2 linked regions of the Styela clava genome follow. Each later gene encodes a partner of the first gene's protein in a complex. Links are inferred from orthologs where the notes say so. Each region holds a gene or a part of one and is shown on either strand. Other genes may lie near its edges.

Region 1 (9,806 bases):
ATTTTTCCCGCATATTTTTTTTGTATTTTAAATCATTTTTCCCGCCTTTTCCATTGCATTTTTAATCATTGTTAAACCAACATTATAGTTTGTGTGAGGTAATAATCTAAAGAAGGCAGTGTAATTATTCATTTTATGACGTAACAAAGATATTTTATTGTATGTAAACGAAAGGTGTTCGTTGTCACGGTATATGTGACGCAACAGACTTAATACTGTGACGTCACACTTACGAGACACTAAAGTCGACAGAAGCATTTTTACTGTGATGTAATAAATTACGTCATCAATAGCACTATTTTTTTGTTAAATGAGGGGGTTGAACAATTATTATGTTCCAATTTTCTTTTTATTTTCACGTGATAGAAATAACTATGTATGTTTTTTTTTATATTCTGCCAGTCACGCTTGATTGACATTTGCTTGAAAAACAGTATACAATATAATGCTCACCGAAGTATCGGATTTCCTGGGCAGAATTTACAAAAATTTAGACATCTAGAAAGTATTCCATCGAATGTTCAGACATGTTTTTCGTCTGTTTAACTCTGAAAGGCATATATATACACTCTGATCATTTACCAGGCGATATTAAACCTTACAATCTTTTATCCAACTTGAAAGCACCCCTTCTATTCAAACATTCATCCATCAAAGAAGATTTTGAAAAACTTGGCGTCTGACGGAACTCAGAAAAAAAAATATATTCACTGAACAGCTACAACATATGTTTTTAACATTGCTCTTTATCCAACTTAACGCAGTATTTTTAAAAACAACTTTTCAACAACAATTTCAAAGTCAGTGCTCACAAATTTAGGACACATATTGTTATATGTATATGGTTTTTTAGAGAAGCCCACGGCTAATTACTGCTCTTTTGTGAAATTGCGATTCAAGATATTTGAATTTAATTTAATTAATAACCGGTTCACAATTCGTACGATTAAGCTGCCTAATTGGCGCTCATGAAGTGTGTGTACCAATATAGAGGTAACTAATTTTGTTTGCATACTTTACATCAAGTTGTGTAAAGGGACTGAAATCTATGGGCATGTGGACTTTGAAAACACAGACAGTCCCCGAACTCGTATCAGAACTAAAAGAAGGAAAATCTAACTCAACCTGGTACACACACTACGGGAATACCCTCTAATCGGCTTTCATCTTTCATCCCCTTAGGTTGATATTTCTCTATTATTTTTACTTGCCCCCAAGTGATGACATCTGATTTTTTTCTTATCCTTGCTCTATATGTCAAGGAATCTTATTTTACCTTATTAATCTGAGTTTCAAGAATTTATGTCTTATTTTTAGCTAAATCGTCTTGTTGTTGTTTTATTGTTATTAATATTATTATCCTTAGTGTGTCCAAGGCACCAAACATATGCGTTAAAATAAAATTTTGTCATTTATTGTTTCGTTGCTATTTTGCGTACCTGATACCAGGCTGTGTAGTCGAGAAAACTTTACATACGACTCTTTACTGCAAGACATTTAAAAACGACTTGCGAATGAGAATGAATTCAACAAATCTGGGTAAACCAAGTTCCTCGTTTCCAAATGATACACGCTGAAATATCCCCATAAAAGATAAATGAAAAAAATATTGTTTTGTTTATATTAAAACTGTTTAGTAGTAGGGAATTCGTAGTTTTGGGTAACTCTATACTCATTCATAAAAACGACAGTTCCAGATACACTGGAATTTAAATAGCTTAATAGCCTAATTCGTATCTGAAGGGTACACATTAGAAATCCCTATTCTTAGTATGTACAAGGGACCAAACATATGAGTTAAAATAAAACTTTATCATTTAGCATTTCTGGGTGTTCGATCCGCAACCATAGGTTATGCCCCTGTGCTCATATAGACCTCAAAAAGACGAGTCTTCAATACCCTTCGGACTTGTATATTAAAAATAATTAACGAATTATCGTGAAGCTGCTGTTTCAAATACTTTGAAAATCGTTAGGCTGAAAATCATTAGCCATAATCTTCAAATACGACCGTTTATTGACTGAACGGATTAAAAATAATCCTAAAATCCACTTTAGGTAGCTTTCGATTTTGAACAAAAACTTAGTACGAACTTATGACCCGACTGCTTAAACATTTTAGCAAGGATTAACTGGATGGAAAAGTATTACAGTGGATAAATATGAACAAAATTGATAGCATCGAATAGATCAAGAAATAAATTAAATGTGAGTTTGTCTGGGGTTTATGTTTTTGTGTAATCGAAATCTCATACTGTTAACGAAAATCCTTCATTTAATTTCTAAAAATTGTAAAAAATTGGAAAAAACATGGAAAATGAGAAGAAGAAGAAAAATTATGTTGGCTCCCTATTCATTACCAATACCTCAGGTAAAATTGAGCTCACGATAGATTTTAATTTCATCGCAGTAAATATTTAATAATGCTCATCTGAACGTCGAGTAGATCCAAAAAGAAATAACTTACAATATTGTACCGAAATTATTATTAGAATACCCGGGTGTGCAATTTATTTTTTCAATACCCCTCAACGATTAAGGCTATATATATGACCAAATTCAATCAGTCAATCCATCAAATCGTTTTTTATTAGCCATCCAGGCAAACGGGCACAACAAAGTTAATTAAAGCAAAATTAAAAATATATACAAATATGCCTTTGCCCAGAATGAACAGGATAACCGTTTTTTAATAGTTAACAATTGAATATCTAACACAATCGACTCGAAATATTATTCATTTAAGTTTTCAAAAGCTTAAATAACCACAGATATGAAGTTCAATATTTTTGATGTGTTCAAGTGTTCGATTTAAATTTAAAAACTGATGATAATATTGTTATAGGAGAATCTTATTGACAAAAACCAAGCTCGAAAATACCCTGCACGGTTGAGACTACACCAAATTGATTTCAGTTTTGAATAACTAGCAGTAAAAATAGGAAAATTAATCAAAAACAAAAACCAAACGTTCTTGACGGTCGTTGCTAAATTCAACACCGCTAACGGAAGCCAAATGCATCAAATAACGCAGTAACCTTCATCGAGTATGCTTAAGGGATTACGGGCTTAGAAAACAAGGGTTGCACTGGAGACGACCTCTTTGTGTACATTTCACTTGGTGGGACTACTTAGCGAAACTGGGGTTAAGAGCGCCATGCATGATTTACTTAAGTAAATAAAGAGTAGACTGTAAAGGTCAGGGGTCAAAGGTTACGGGTAAGATAAACCATGAAATGGCTTCAGACATTAGGGTCAATGCCAAGTTTCTAGCAATGGCGTGACGAGCTTCGGCGCCAAGTTAGGTATCGATTTCAGAATCATTTGCACGTTTGATTTTGAAGTATTTTAGTTTGCCATTTTTTGTCAAAATATGTTCAGAAATGTGATATTGTTCTGCTTTGTGCGAGAAAAGCACATTTCTGATATTTTTTTTATCTACGATCAAAATGTTCAAAATTGCATAGATAGGATTTTCGTGAAGGAGAAAAATGGGCTCTCCAGAAGTGTGTGTACAAATATGAAGGTAAGTAATTTTGTTCGCCTACTTTACGCCTACTTTTAGCAAGTTGTGTAAAGGGACTGAAGCCTATAGACAGGGGGTATATTCACTTAACTAACACAAACAGTACCCGAATTTTTAATAAAACTAAAATATGAAAAATGGGAATAAAATTATTGCCTAACCCTAACCCGGTACACACACTAAGGGAGTCCCGAAAAATGGTGATCGGACAATATAAAAATGCGGCTAATCATATCACGGATCGTGCATGAAAAATAGCTAACTATGTCAAGGTTAAAGATGCTTGCGTACGAATGGCGAAGGAGAGCGTATTTATAGTCAACACTCCATGGCGCCCCGGAATCCAACATCGGCTTATCCATGACAGAAGCCCAACCAAAGCGAACAAACAAATGGTATTTTACCCGGCTAATTCGTATTTATTCTCACAATTTGTTTGTTATATCAGATTTAATATGGAAACTAAAATCAATTAAAAGATAACTGTTTTTTGTTTGTTATATGTACCCACCGTAAAGGCAGCAAATTTCAAGGCCAAACAATCGTTTGCATGTCGTAAATTATTGCATTGATAAAACAACTCATAAACGCCACCATGCGGAAAGTAGTAAATTATATGATAGGTTTTAAAGCTATTGAGGTGTTATATATATACACCTCAATGGTTAAAACCAAATTCCAAATCGAATTTCGTCAAACAAAATGTACTCAAAATAATAAGTTTCCCGATGAATAAACGAATTTCAAGTTTATAGCAAGTATTGTACCAATTTTGTCAGTTTATTGTCATACAGATATATTCTCGAATCTTCAGTTGCTATCAGCTGGTATCTTCGCATTGACAGCTGCGTCTGTGTTTCATCGCATCGGCTATATTGCACTTTATGGTATCGTAAATTGCATCAGAGGAAACTGCGAAAGAAGATGCTGGAAGCCTTTCTATGCGCGTTTGATTTGTCGTGCGAAAATTTGCAATTTTTACGGCCCTTTTCGATAGTGAATTCTTATAAAAGGTCGAAGCTTGATAAGTTTTTATATAGTTAGTTATGAGAAAGGTAGCCGATAGCAGCTCGTACGCATATAATTTTGTATGTTCTTTTCGTAACATATCTTAGATTTACAAATCTTCGACAGTTTTTGATCTTAGAACAACAGTAAAGCGGAAGGGTTTTGTTTTGGTGTTTTTTAGCTTCTACAGATTATCATTGGAATATTAGAATAGTACTGATAGTAGGACCCCCTCAAGTATGCGCACCAAGTAGGCTCACAGCCTGAACTCAGGTTTTGTACCAGGTTGGGGTTCAAGTTGTGTGACATCTTGGTGCCCAACGTCAGAAGTACCGTATAGTGCTCTCGTAGTGAATGGAGGGTTATACTCGCTGCAGTTTGTTACGCATAAGGGCCATTGGGCAAACATTTTGATGGGTAGACTTTGTCTCGATCGGTCGGGGCCGAAGCAATGATGTTCAGATGTTCAGCCACGCTTTACAAGTTAGAACAACTAGTAAATACTAAACTAAAACTAAGGCCGATTAGCGTAATAGAAGGCATAGCTCTTGCCACTAGGATTGGTTCGGAAAAATATAAGCTGATTTAGATGAAATTTTAAGCAAATCAAATGGTGATATTTGACGAAATAGTTTTTTCCCCCGGGTCATATGTCAATCTGTCAGAAAGTTACGTACGATAGTTCGAATAGATTCATATGACGTAGTATAACATACCAAATAAGTATTGTTACGCATGACTGGTTGCAGCTGTTCACGTGCGCAATGTAGTGAAACCAAATTGTTCGTAATTTATCTGTTTTACAATTTTGGGAGTACACGCAGTATTGTCTTATTATTTTGTGCATTTTCTTTGAAAATGGCCAATCAAATTGCTGTTGAAGGATATGAGGCGTTTATGAGTAAAATCTCAGAGCTGGAGGAACAGAAAAAAGAGATTTATTGTCTATTTTCTGGGTCGGTTGACCCGCAAAGTGGAAAAAACTGGTGTCCAGATTGTGTTAAAGCGGACCCTGTGATCGAAAAATGTTTGCCGAATATGCCAGAAGGGGCTGTTTTTGTACATTGTCATGTCGGGCAAAGGGATTACTGGAAAAACAAGACTAATGATTTCAGAGTGCATCCAAAATTGAAGCTGTCAGGGGTGCCAACTTTGTTGAAGTGGGGAGAGCCAAAGAAGCTAGTTGAAGACCAACTATTCAATCCAGATATGATCAACATGATGTTTGAAGACTGAAATCTGGCATCCCTTAATTAAATTGATCAAGAACAATGAGGTTCAATTTTCAAATCTGTTTAATTAAAAGTGCAATTGACTTAACATTATTTGAGAATTTACATCCACTGGCAATAATTTTTGCCCATTTATTCAGTTCAATGCCTTCTTAATTTCCGAGAGAGTGTGTGCAAACTTGCTTTGGGAAAATATTTCAAAAAATTGTGTGCACTTCTATATCTATTCTTACTAATACTGAATACAGTAATAACATGTCATTAAATCCAGTTTTTGATTTAAAAATGTCTTAAAGTTTCATCTGTATCCTAACTCATAACAATTAAAATACTAGTAGCAATCAAATAAGGTTGTTCATGCAATAGCAGTAGCCTACACTCTTGTTTAGATCAAGGTCTTATTCAGTTATATTATAAACTTGCTCTATTCGATGATTATATAAGTTGATAATATGCATAATTTTTCATATTGTATTTAATTCAACTTGCCATCTTTATTGTATGTTAATCTGTTAGTCGTCTCTTGATAACAGTTTTGCCATACCTTTGATTTTACTAATACAATTTTATTAGGTTTGGTGCCACTGGTCGGAATAATCTCATACATACACAATTGAGCCAATGCTGCTAATTCGTCCTGCTGGACAACCCTTTGATATGTTTCAAACTTTGCTTCCTCGAAAAGTGTAAATTCAAAAATAATGCCGTTTTCATATCAAGATGAGATTATTCTGGTCAGTCATGCTACAATGATTACAGCTGAATGCAGGGTTAGAATTGTATTTAAATTTGTCGTTTCATTACGTTATTAATTTGATCATTTGGTATCACACACATTATGCCTTTTATTCTATTGATTTATCATTTAATTTAGATTTCTATTATATTAGTTTTACTTATCAACAACTTTCAAAAATGGCAAATGATATATCGACCAGTGGTCCAGCAGAACTCAAGGAGATGGGTAATAAGCATTTTAAATCCGAGGAATATAAAGAAGCCTTAAAACTTTATACATTGGCGTTATCTCGAGCAGACAAAAAAGCTGATCAACTGCCTTTGTATAAGAACCGTGCTGCATGTCATCTGAAAACAGTAAGGATTCTTACTTTTATAATTTTCAATTGTCTGAAAAACTTTAGTTTGTAAATTTGTAAAGTCTCTGACTTTATGCTTACTTATGTCACTGATCTTGGATTTCCTATGGCCTTGAATCTTGATTTCCTATGGCCGGGAATCTTGATTTCAGAAATATAGTGGATATAGCAATTATACTTATACACACGTTCACACAATTATTGTATCCGCTTATAGAAATAAACCGCTTGGCATGACAACAATTTCTTTCATGATTATTTTATTCAAATTTCAATATATTTTTACAGAAAGATTATCAGGAGGCTTTGAAAGACTCTACCAGTGGTAAGATATCATTTTCATTATTTTAAGCTTCGATTCTAAACTAGCATCATTACTGTTTCGTTTTTATATAATTGCCATGAGTCCGTCGCTTAGTTTTTTGTTCAACTTTCTGATACCAGACTCATCACCACCCAGACTTGATCAGATGATTGGATGACAGACATAGAAATTTATTCAGTCTATCTGATTTTTTCAGATGACAGTTATCTAACTTTATTGAACTATTTTAGCTTACCCATTCGCCTAAAAAAAAGAAGCCTCATCACACCATACTACCAGTTGTGCCATTGAAATCTGCATTATCACCCTCAGCCCTTAGACGATTCTCGATAACATTATCAATTATTATTTATGCATAACACATACACATAACTCATTTAATATGAATATTATCTGATTAAATTAGTAACCTTTTTCTTCCAAGGATAGATATTTAAAAATACTTCCAGTGACCCATCTTATTTCTTGTTAATCTGAAACTTCTTCATTTTAATTCAGCACTGAATATCTGTCCTTCTGATACGAAGGCTTTATTTCGTCGAGTCCAAGCTTTAGAAAACCTGGGCCAACTCAACGCAGCCTATGTAGATGCTCGCAGACTTGTGCAAATGGAACCAAAGAACAAAATGTTTGTTTCAGTTTGTGGAAATTTGAGAACTCTGATGGAGGTTAAGGTTAGTGTAGTCACTTTAGTCGTTTCGATTTGCAGTTTTTTATTTCCAAGGAAAAAATGACTGGCTAAACCTCTACCTGAAATGGACTGGTAACCAGATGAGAGGTCGTGGTTTAGCATATGATTAGGTTGTCTTGTCAGCTTTTCTGTTCTCCAGAAAACATATGTGAATCCTTTGCTTTCCCCAATTTTCCTAATCTTATTATGATGAAGGTTACTTGAATATTGTATATTAAACTGTAAGTCCTGATATATAATGATATTTGAAAGTTACAATTTTTGAAAAACCGAAGTCTTTTTGTTCCGGTATTACTAATTTCTCACACCCTGGTTGGATCTTTTTAAATAGTGGTTCTCAAACTTTCAAGCCCTTTTTTTAGAATTTGTCAAGTCTCGCGACCCACCTCATAAACAACTAGCTAACAATAAGCTACAAATAACAGATAGTAAGGTGAAAGGTTATTCGAAAAACACGTTGAAAATACATGGATGGAACGTAAATAATGAAATAAATGAAAAGTTTTGAAAACAAATAAAGCGGGCAAGATCAAATCTAACAAATATGTTTATTCGTAATTAGCTCTACGCCCCCTCAAAAAATTGTCTACGCCCCTCTTGGGGGGCGTGCCCTACTGTTTGAAAACCACTGTTGTAAAAGATATTTATGCTTCAAGAGACACTGGAGCTAAATGGAAAAAATTTAAATAAAAATAATTTTTTAGATGTTTGAGGAGCGTTCAACAGAAAATCGAGTCAATCAAATGTTCAAGATTTTGTTCGACTCAAGTTTGGAAGACGAAGACAAAAAGAAAAAAGCTGCAGAAAATTTAGTTTTCTTATCGCGAGACGAGGCTGGAGCAGAACGAATATTCCGTGAAGGTGGTCCGAGTGCTCTTGCGGAACTTACAGACTCGAAAAGCAATGATGTGAAGCTGGCCGGAATTAGAACAATGTCGGGACTGTGCAATGGCCACCAGGCTAGGGTAAGTAATTTTGTGCAGGGCTTTGAAGGGAGTTTGATATGCTGTCAGAGCAAGGGCCATAATTTTTTGGAGTTTCAATACAAAAGTGAATGTGCTGTCGAAGGGTATGAGGCGTTTATGAGTAAAATCTCAGAGCTGGAGGAGGGGGTTACGAAAAGCAATAATTTCAAATTTCTAAAAAGCTAAATATTTTATTCACATTTTACAGTCTCTCGTTATTCTCCGAGAAGTTGGAATCGAAAGGATCTGTCATTGTATGGGATCACTAAATGGCAACGATGAGCTTTCTACCGCTGCAATGCATCTTCTTCAATCAATCATCGACGCTTTGCAAGGAGAGGACAAGATAGAACACAGAGGGAAAGAAAATGCTCTCAGAGCTGGTAGGTTGAAAAGATTTATTGACAGGATTAACGCTCACCTATAGAGAGAGTCAATACATCATAAAAATATATATTCAAATATTGAATACCAAATATATTTCAAATTTAAAGTTTAACAATGCATATAGAAGTTATTGTATGTTTAATGAGTTTGACCTTTAAAATGCTATAAAAATGAAGATTAACAACATGTTTTCCTAATATTATATTTATAACTAATTTCTCCTATGTATATTTAATCTCAATGCAGTGCGGGCCGTTGTAGCCTGACAGTTGAAAGCTTTTGCCTTGACTATGTTGTCAGGTTTTGCATTTGGGGTTCAAATTCCATTCCCCCACCCTACTGTGGCCGGGGTATTAAAATTGGTAGACGATGCCGACTGAAAAGATTGTGGTTTTTCAAAATGTTAGAAGCTCCTTATATATTATTAGATATCAGTGGATTTCATGCTTACCCCCCCCCTCTTTAACACTTCTGCACTAGAGCTAAGATCAAGCCCTGGCCTGAAATGTCAATCATTATGTTTGGATCGGGATTCTCTATCGCTGACTTCTTTTTAAATAAATAAATGTTTATAA
Region 2 (10,397 bases), on another chromosome or scaffold:
ATACTCGTAACACGAAATATTTGTAATTCAAATATTTCTATTTCAACAACGAAACAGAAAGAGAGTAACAAGCGTGAAATTCGATGACTAGGTTGTTCTTGCATTTCCTTTGCAATCTTCTTGAATCGTGGCTCCACGGCGCTCAATGCAATTCTCATATACTCATGTCTACACTCTTTGCACAAATTATTTTGTTTTTAATAGTTGTTAAAGCAGAAAATGCTGATTCACACAAATAGGTATTAGGAAATTGACACAGAAGTTTTGATGCTTTTTTTGGCAATTGCTGTATCCGCTTTGTGGAGAGAAATCTAAAAAAATTCTTTCTCATGTTTTTGAGGGTATTAAAAAGTCGGGTTGCACACTATTTTTACTATATTCCAACAAAAGCTGAACAACATGTAACTATGGTGCGACAATGGCGTTCTTTTTTTGTTAGTTGCATAACAATGACTAAAGTGACGCAACAACCGAAAATATTTTTCTGCACTGTGACTAAACCTCCTATTCAACAAGTTGGCCTACTTGTAGTTTAAATGAGACACGGTGGTCTAAGAATATTTATAATGACGCATCAACATGCTGAACCAGGAAATGCTTTCCCCTTAAAAAAAAAAACGCGGAACCCCTAAGAAACCTTATAAACTCACGGAACCCACTGCATGTGTTGCGGAACCCTAGGGTTTCGCGGAACCCCTGTTGAAGAGCACTGATTTAGTACCATAAATATGACAATCAGAAAAATTGTGATATAACAATTTGACACGTAACGACTGAATGTGGTTCAACTGGAACACCAGTTGAAATCCACTGCCCGAGGAAACAATAAAACCCCATTTTAACGGTTATACCGTAATAAAACCGTCTTAACAAATTAGGTATTTCATGAGAACGTTTCCCATTATTTGTGTGTTTGATTTCTTCGCTTTCCTCTTAAGAAAAGATAAAATTTTACAATGATATTGCAGACAAAGAGATTTCAGTCTAAATAAATAATTAATAATCCAGATGATATGTAAGGAACAATCGTCAATTATAGAATGAAAGGATTTTTGAAAATTTGAGAACAAAATTACTCTATTTAATTAAGGTTTTTATCCTGTGGCGTTATGCTCAATAATTACTGATGGAAAGAAGATGTTGCGAATGTATTATTAATTAACGCAGGTGTTTTATAATATATATTACCTTGTCGTTTATCCTCTGGCATTGTCAGCCTTGTACAAGATTTGTTTTCCATTGAACATTTTGTTTGCCACCCTGTGATTGAATCAGGCATTTATCTTTTCTCCGTGTACTTGGAAAATGAAAATGATTTTTGGAAACAGAACGGTTACTACAAATCAGATTCTGAACAATGGCAGTTGGAATTCCAATGTATCGGCTACTAACCATACGTTTATGGACATGAATTCAACAGTTGCACCGAGTCCGACGTTTAACTTCAGCCGTGAGGGTTCGAACGATTATGTGGTCAATATAACACTGACGTTATCACAAGCAGTGATAGCAATTCTCTTTTTACTATCATGTTGGATGTTAGCAAGTTTTGTTGTCTACTGTATTCATAATGGAAAATGGAAGAACAAACAAACGACAAGTTTTTTCACTGCAAAACTGTTGTACATTATTTATACTTTAGTTCTAGGCGTCCTAATCCAAAAAATGGTATCCACGCAAGTTTCAATCCAGGCAACTCGGGGTGCAAACTCTTCGTCTTTATGTAAGGCAGTCGATACTGTGTCAAAAGTGTATTACTCCATCATTACATATCTCATTTATTTCTTTTCATGGGTGAGACAAAGAATAATTTATGAAAAAGGAATCTTTTCAGGAAATTATATCTCTCGCCTAAGTTGGGGAATATTTGCGATACTTCCATCAGAATTGATTATAATAATAAGTAAGTTGATTATATTTGATCGCTTGCGGTCAGTACCACAAGGTTGTCTAAATATTAACAACATCGATAACGGAGTCCTACGTATTTTCATGCGCCTTCCGTTGATCGTAGCCCAAATCGCCATTCTTGGCCTGCTTGTTTACGCGGTTGTCAAGAACACCATGGAATACAAATCAAAATATCATGGCTCGAAATGGATCGTACTGTTTTGTGACACAGGAACTTCGAAGTCTAATGAAGTACAAAAAACGATTCGTCGTGTTCTTATCTGGGCATTCGTTGCTGTTATCACGGACGTTATAATTGGTGTGATGAATTTACGATTGATTCCAGAACACTTTCCTGTTTCAATTCGTGCGACAATGGGAGACATAATGTCTTTTGTCAATGTCATTTGCATATCCATGACATTTGAAGACAGATGGCAAATATTGAAAGTTTTTTTCCAGTGGAAACAAAATAAGGTTGCTGCTTCTGACTTGCCAACCAAGCCGACTACAATTCCGCAGACAAAACCAATTTGTTCCAATGCAGACAGACGTATTGGTCCATATTGTGAAGAGACCGTGTAGAAAAACTATATAAATATATATAGGGTTACCATATTTTTTTGACTTCAAAGCGGGACGCCCCCAAAGACACGATCCTTTAGCTGTGATCCTGTAACTTTACAGTTTCCGATTTCACTACATAGGCCTACATTTGAAGCCATCCCGACTGTCTTCATTGACCGCATTGTCATCGAGAGTTCATGCGCATATTCTCTGTCTAAATATCTGGTAGGGTTCGAAAAAATAGAAAGGAATAGACGCTAACGATACAAAAGATCCAAATTTAGATTTTTGTATGTACAGCAAAAAGAATAAAGAAATAGTCTGCCGTTTTCAAGCATTGAGATTTACTTATTCGCCCAAGCATGCTTTTCTGTAGATAACACCTTCAAAAACACGTTCGAACGTCCGAACAGGACCAATTAGAATTGATTTCACACGCGATACGTTCGCTAACAATGTTAGCGGGAAACAACGAAACAAACAAAATAACGTATTAACCTTCAGTACGTAGGCTATCTTTGCGCTACACAGCAACAACAGTAACGAGAAAATGTTCGTGTAATTATGCTTGATGGCTGAACGCCAAAGCGGGACTTTTGACTGACTTGTCGGGAAGGCGGGACAAGACGCTAAAAAGCGGGACTGTCCCACCTGAAGCGGGGCGTATGGTAAGCCTATATATATTGAAAGTCTCAGGACGGTCGGCGCATAAATTGGTGTGGAGATAATTTCAATTGGTACTGCCATAAAGAAATATTGAGGCGGGACTAGATTTATATTTTCAAACCAACTGATGTTGAAGACACAGTTTTCATAGCACTTCATTCATGGCAATTGAACTTTGGTGTCCCGAGGTTGGGTTTTAATCCGAAGTGCAAAGATATTTCAAATTTGTGACAGATTGTATCAAAGTTTTATTCTTTATTCTGTGTGTAGCTTATTATTTGCATGAGATGTTGTGTACGTGTGATTAATTTCTTTACGTACCTAATGTTATTTGTATATGTTTTTGCTTACGTAAATATCAAGATCAATTTTATTTTATATCTTGCTTAATCGGACTCCTATTTCCATCAAAAATAAAATTACACTGGGTGCGATAGCGTGGTATTTACGGTATTGTATGTGACTAGGATGGCATTATATGATGAATATTTAGTATTCAAACAACATGCGCCCGTCCTAATCTTGTTGCAATGAGCCCTTAGGCCACATCCACGGTCGTTTGCACGCAAGCATTGCCAAGACGAATATTTTGTTTATGTTGGTTACATTAAAGTTGGGGATTGTCGCGAGAATTATTGCTTTTTCCGGTACTCCCGTAGTATGTGTATAGACCACCAGGTTAGGCCATAATTTTATTTCGATTTTCCTTATATATTTTAGTTTTAGTACGAGCTCAGGGACTGTCTGTGTTAGCCAAGTGAATATCCCCCCGCCCATAGGTTTCAGTCCCTTTACACATGTGGCGTACCAAAATTGATATCACCACTCAGGTTCTTTCTGCCAGCTTCTTGGACACTGTAATTGCTATAGATGACGATTGTAAATCACCTTCTTGCGGTTCCAACTGCAGCAAAGTAACTAATTTAACTATTTAGATTAATTATACACCTGAAAGAACTTAATACAACCAAATACTCCAATAAGAAATACAATAAACAAATAAAAATACACGGAACACAAAATAGGAATTAATCTATGACGTCACAGTCATGAATTATTGACCTGTAATGGAATATACAAAAACCAGGCAAAACATACCTAGAAATACATACGAATAACTAGTATGACACTAAAAATACAACACCAATCCTATTTTACCGACAAACACTTAATATACCTGGCAATACACATAGAAATACGGATATCACACCGGAACTAAACTGCGAACGTAGACTGGTTACGAAAATGTTAAATACAAGGTAACTAGTGAACAGACTCAGAGCTATGCCAAACTGGGGAAACAGCTAACCTGTAGTACTACTAACAATCTACAACAAGAATTACATAGATACACGGTCATAAAACACTATAATAATAACCTAAAACACAGAGGAAATTCCACACTGCCGGCACTCTGACAAACCAGCAAAAAAGGAAAGATACTCAATTGCTTACTAATGACTCGTTTCTAATGACTCAAGTGGTAAGAATAAATATGGGCATAAAGAATAGAACAGAGTTGTGGACGTGGTCGTCTCACACAACTTGATGTAAAATAGGCGTACAAAATTAGATACTTCCATATTGGTACACATACTTCTGCAGCACCATTTTTCAGCTCATCTCAGCAGCGCCGGATTAACCATTAAACAATATAAGCACGTGCTTAGGGCACAAAGCAAAGAGGGGCACCACAGAAATTTTAGAACAGAATTTTATATAGTTTATCGGTGTTTATTAAAATAGCACTAGTTCACCAGACGACTTAAACTTCAAAATGTTCGCTTATTTTTCGTCTTCAAGTGTCATATTACCTACATTATTAAAAATACACACTGAAACTTTTTTTTACACGAAATGGGCCTTTGAGTCGTTTATTTAAATTGTTGTTGTTTTTTCATTTTAGTATTCTCCTTGTTGCTGCATTTTTGTTTTAAAAAAAATTTTTTCTCTTCAACAATTGGACCAATGAACTATTTACACTCTGTGGCGGTTCCACGATCGCATTTCAACAATCTAGTGGTCAGCGAAATCGGGAGTTTTTTTTGATAAGGTAGACCAGGGTGGTCCAAACCCTGTTATGCTTATACATTCCGTGCGGAATAGCATATATTTGTATCTAATGGAGGAACGTTTTTGAGTTTTTTTAGCTATTCCAACTGGGGTTGGGATCCCGGGATAACGCTTTGTGCCTTTATTTTAGTAAAACCCTCCTCTGTTTCCAAGCGTCGGCCACGTGACAGTAGTGACGAAACGCAGAGCCGACTCAACGCCGCGCAATCCAGTTTTTTTTTTAGCTAGGTCCCGAAATACCAACTTAGACAGACTTGGTTGGTTTTTGACAATAGCACTAAGCTTGCTCACCAAATCTCAACCGCCGCGACCCCTTTCTCTTCAACTGAGCTACTGGACTAATTGCTGTGAAATGTTCAGTGAATAGAGATTGTTGTTGTCACCGAAGGCTAACATTTTTATTTATTTCAAAAATTTCTGTGGGCTCTAACAAATATGGATTTTTATTCAGTCAGACGTCACATGAAAAAATGCACAAAAATTGATACAAAAATAAATATACCATCAACGTCTGTTGTGCGACAAACGTCTTCTTCAAGCAGTCGTGTAAAAATAACTGCATATGCTAAAAATATTGTAGCAATAGTAGTGACGGTGAACAGATTTTGACTCTAATACGTAAATTATTAAAAAATTCACTGCAAACGAAATTTTGCTAAGATATATAATAAAATAAATAAAAGAAAGTGAGAAATGTATACAAATTACAAGGAAAGCAAACAACAAACAAAGAAAAAATGGTTACAGCAATGGCAATTTAAGAACATCGTATATAAAATTAGAAATAGGGGAGTTAATAAAAACTTCAGGAGAATTTGCAACAAAACCTATTCTGAAAACAATATAACGTTTATATAAATATTTAATACATTACACAGAAAATGGTCCTAAAATGGCTTTCGTAATAATTTACCATCTATCAGGATCCTCAATGAATTTTCCGTTAATGACTTTAATCTAATGACTTTGTGTGATCGATAGTCAAAATATTATTGCACCTTCCAGAGTTCTGACAAGAAAAGTTGCAAAAAAGGACATGGCCCATCAAAGAAAATTTGCGACCAATAAAAATTGGAATGAGCTTCATATGTCTCTATCGTCCAATACAGGGGTGTAGTGGAAAGTGGGGAAGGTTGAGACACATTTTTCTTTTACATTTGAGACATACATCTTATCACCAAAATGCTTTAAAAAATGTTTGCCAAGTTTCCCACTGTACTCCACTTGTGGGGCACATTCGGACAGGGAAAAAATGGGAGAACTTCAATTTTGTAGATTTATTATTTTTGAAATCAATGTTCAACCAAAATATTTCATATATTTTTCGAAAAAATTCCGTAAACAAATTAAATTATTTCCTTTTTCGAATCCGATAATATACTTGATTCTTTAATGTATTCCATAACGCAAGAAACATAACGCATCTCTAGGCCTCTAAGCACTTAATGGTTCAAACACTGTCGAATTGTGCCCAGTGGGGCATGTCCCGCTAAACCCCGTTCCATTGTTCTCCATAAAGAAAAACAAATACGTCAGACTTTCCAACGGCGATATTAGGAAAGCACGTCCACTCGCCAACGTTATGAACATTTTACAGTGGACTAAAGCTAAAAAAAATATCAGTCCGTGGTTTGTCATGTTGAAACGGATGAGGTAGAAAAAAGAAAAAAATGGAATGGTGAAATTTTAGTTTCAACCCCCCAAAACCAATTTAACCTTATAGCTTGCGTTGCTCTACACGGCCGTTGTCCGTTTACGGGGACGTTGTAACCCACCGGAGGGCGGATTCAAACATCGAACCGCAGACCGGATATAGTATGAGAGCTGATTTTCCACTATGCCCCATGTCCCAACGTGGCCCACCTTCCCCTACAACCTATTTTCTATAGTCGGTCGCGATTCGTTTCTGTAAAAGGACTAAGACCGCCAGTGATATCGAGATTCTTCATGAGTTAGGTATGTTTAATCAAAGAATTTAATTTGACTGGATAATTCCTTGATCGAAACGAGTTTGAAAATCCAGACGTGAGTATACCCCACACTTGGAAACTATTTGTACCTTCAATTAACCCCGTCTTGAAATCGTTTACACCATTTACTCGAGCCACTTGAAAAAAGTGGTGTCGTTATATTTGGGTCCAAATACGCGTTTCCTCAAAAATAAGACGATCTTATTTCAATTTTTCTTTGAAAAATAACACTGAGCTTCTTTTGGGGGGGAGGAGGGGTGTCTTTTATTTTCATTTATTAAAAACAAAATTACAAAGTAGAGAATTATGAGATTTTTAAATATAAAAAACATGACTATATAGGTCTTATTTTATGGGGGAGGGCTTATAATAAAATCATTTTTAAAATTCAGGCTAGGTCTTCTTTTTTGGGTAAACACGGTACCTTGTTACACCTGTGTTGTATAAGCGTAACATTTTTCATAAAAAAACTTCTACGGGCCAGCTTGAGGCAGTCCCTATAAATAAGCGTAATATTATTAACAGGAACAAATTTGGTTTCAGAAACGACCATTGCATGAAACACAATAACATTGATGCAACTGCTATGATTAGCAATAGTATAGAATGGCAATATTGAACATGTTTCCCAGCCACGAAAAAAACATTTTTTACCGTTGCGTAAAATCTCTGAAAAAGCACACTTAGTCAATATATATTATGTGGACTCCCGTTTATTTCCATCAATAACGTATGAGGCTTTGATATTGCACCAACGTTTTTTTTAATTTTTTATCTTCATTAATAATACAGGGTTATGCCCTTTACAGTTTTGTTTTTAGTCAGTTCTCAATATATCTTAATCAGGTTTGTTGTTTTTCAATTGGTAATTGTTCAGATATTTTTACTTCATTTAATACATCTGTGAGGGCCAAAACAATATCTGGTATCGATAAACTCACTTTGCAATTTTAAACAATTTCAAGTCCTTATGGACACCCAGTATAATCAATATTTCAATATGTAGCTGGATACTCGAAGTTGCAACAAACCGAATCTATAAGTTATCTCGGCTTGGATACACTAGTAGTCTAGTTGTAGGCTAGTTTTCGCAGTTAGCACCAACCAGACAACTCCAATACTAAGTTTATGCTCTGATCATTGTTGATTGGAAACATGTTTAACATTACATTGCATCCGGGTGGGGCCTGAACTCTTGTCTTTACCAGTGATGCGCGTTGTCTCCGTTGGACCTTGAGCGTCGTACCACTTGGTCAGTGCATTTGAACGCTTGCTCTTTCCATTTCTTGGATTGTAAAATCTTATTACTTTTATTATATTTGCAATTAACTTGGAGTCTTAATGCATCCGATATTTGACCCTAAATTTTGCTGTTTTATTTTTATTCATGAGAACACTTTATTCCGTGAAGTTTCGGTATACTTGCACGACGTTTTGTTCGGTGCACAAAATCCCGTGTTTTTGAAAAGACAAATTTTGTTTTATCGAAACATTTTTCGTCGTCCATACTTATCGTGCAGTCGAAATAAACTTCTTGTATCCAAGACGTTTTTTTAAATATATTTTGCATTGGCTATTTTAAAACTAATTGTTCTTTGTACCCAAAACTTAGTTAGGGCTTTTTGGAGACTTATGCTTGAGTTTTATCTGGAGATATCACGCTAAAGAGGTATTCCTTAATTAATGATATTTCAGGTATGCGCGACCTGATGCCCAAAATTTGTAAATTAAAAAAAGCATTAAACTGAATTTGTGTCTAATGGAGAGTTAAGCGCTAATTAGAGCTAAACACATAACGTTTTCATTCTATTATTGGTATTTGTTTCTCACGTGTTTTAAGAAATACTAATTATAATTTATTTAGATCGAAACCTCGTAATCTGATTATTAGCAATATCGCGCAACTAAATTACCATTTAGCCACCGAGATTTATGTTGCGAATACATTATTAAAACTCATTATATTTCATATTAACGGATCAGGCGATCGGAACCGTTAAACATTTATGTGCTGGTGTGCGTGTTTTACTGTAAAATAACGTATGTTTGTGTACTATATTGGAGCTTGACTGTTACGTCTTTGATGGAAAATAAACTAGACTCGAGATTATAAAAGGTAACAGTTGTAAACATCGCTCCGTGTCACTAAGGCGGAAATGAAGTCAAATATCTACATTTTCATATCATTACAAATCGGAATCAAAAATACCCATACGGCAGCTTCTGGAACATGATATATATATAACGATGACGCTACTCGTTGAAAGAGCCAGCTTTTTCGATGGATAATAATTTTTCACGTTAAGCAAAATACATTCACGATCAATGCGAGCATTTAAAATATCTTGTACATCGTGGGCACGAATAATTGTTTTAACTTCGGTAATTATGATATATAATGGCTCAATTTTGGCGGTTTACAATGTCTAAAGTAGCGTTTTTACATCTGGCACGGAATCCTAAAGCAAAAGTTAAGGTGTATTCCGTTCATGTTGTTAATATTTTATACCACAATTTTAAAGTCCCAATATTCACTCCTTATTTTCAGTTGAAAATTTTTAGTTGCAGATTCACACTTTTAATTATATTTAGCGTCTTTATGTCGATGATCGCATAATAACGAGTATTTTGAGATAATTTACCGACATAATATCGATGTTAACGGCCTAAATAACCGCGTCAAGCTGACGAAAACAATCGGCGACGTGAATAACATTAGCGCTGTGAAAACAGCAAGCGTTATTAGCAAGGTCTCCCGGAAATGTTGAAAAATCAGCGGGGATTTGGGCTGGTCCTCTCGCTGCGCCAATAGCAACAGTAATTAAAGTAAGTGTCAACCGGTGCTCTGGCTTCTCTTGAGACTGTAGATTAAACTATCCGAATATCGATTCGATGAAAATATTTGATCAACCTTGGACACTTTTATTCAGTATATTTGTTCAAATTTAACCATTTCATAAACATTTTGGACCCAAGCCAAGGAGATATATGAATAAAAGCCAATTTTTAAAATAAATATGACTTATAAAAGAGCTCGATTTCACTGGCGGCCGTGGAGCATTTATAAAAACCTAATGCGGCCGTTCGAAGAAAAAAAATTGTGCACCCCTGGTATAGGCGTGGTCAAGAACACCAAGGAATACAAATAAAAATATCATGGCTCAAAATGGATCCAACTCTTGTGTGGTAAAGGAAATTCGAGGTCAAGTAAAGTTCAAAAAGCGATTCGTC

Evidence for each region.
Region 2: the proteins of protein unc-45 homolog B-like (region 1) and heat shock protein HSP 90-beta-like are in contact, whole or in part, in a crystal structure (PDB 4I2Z), measured with the Caenorhabditis elegans proteins. The link is inferred for Styela clava from reciprocal best matches to the Caenorhabditis elegans genes unc-45 and hsp-90. Residues at the interface, in NP_497205.1 of Caenorhabditis elegans: Arg12, Asn16, Val19, Tyr31, Val48, Arg51, Asn52, Met55, Lys59, Val81, Lys82, Phe85, Arg86, Asn113, Asp114, Ile117; in NP_506626.1 of Caenorhabditis elegans: Ser696, Arg697, Met698, Glu699, Glu700, Val701, Asp702.

The regions. Positions count from the first base shown.
Region 1 is NC_135264.1:16,277,355-16,287,160, reverse strand, and holds the start of protein unc-45 homolog B-like, read left to right. Parts: upstream 1-5,772; 5' UTR 5,773-6,681; coding exon 6,682-6,861; intron 6,862-7,151; coding exon 7,152-7,188; intron 7,189-7,686; coding exon 7,687-7,862; intron 7,863-8,583; coding exon 8,584-8,844; intron 8,845-9,052; coding exon 9,053-9,227; intron 9,228-9,806. Other genes in the region: thioredoxin domain-containing protein 17-like, read left to right, coding at 5,393-5,770.
Region 2 is NC_135251.1:21,555,036-21,565,432, forward strand, and holds the start of heat shock protein HSP 90-beta-like, read right to left. Parts: upstream 4,105-10,397; 5' UTR 4,081-4,104; intron 1-4,080. UniProt on the Caenorhabditis elegans protein: Molecular chaperone that promotes the maturation, structural maintenance and proper regulation of specific target proteins involved for instance in cell cycle control and signal transduction. Undergoes a functional cycle that is linked to its ATPase activity.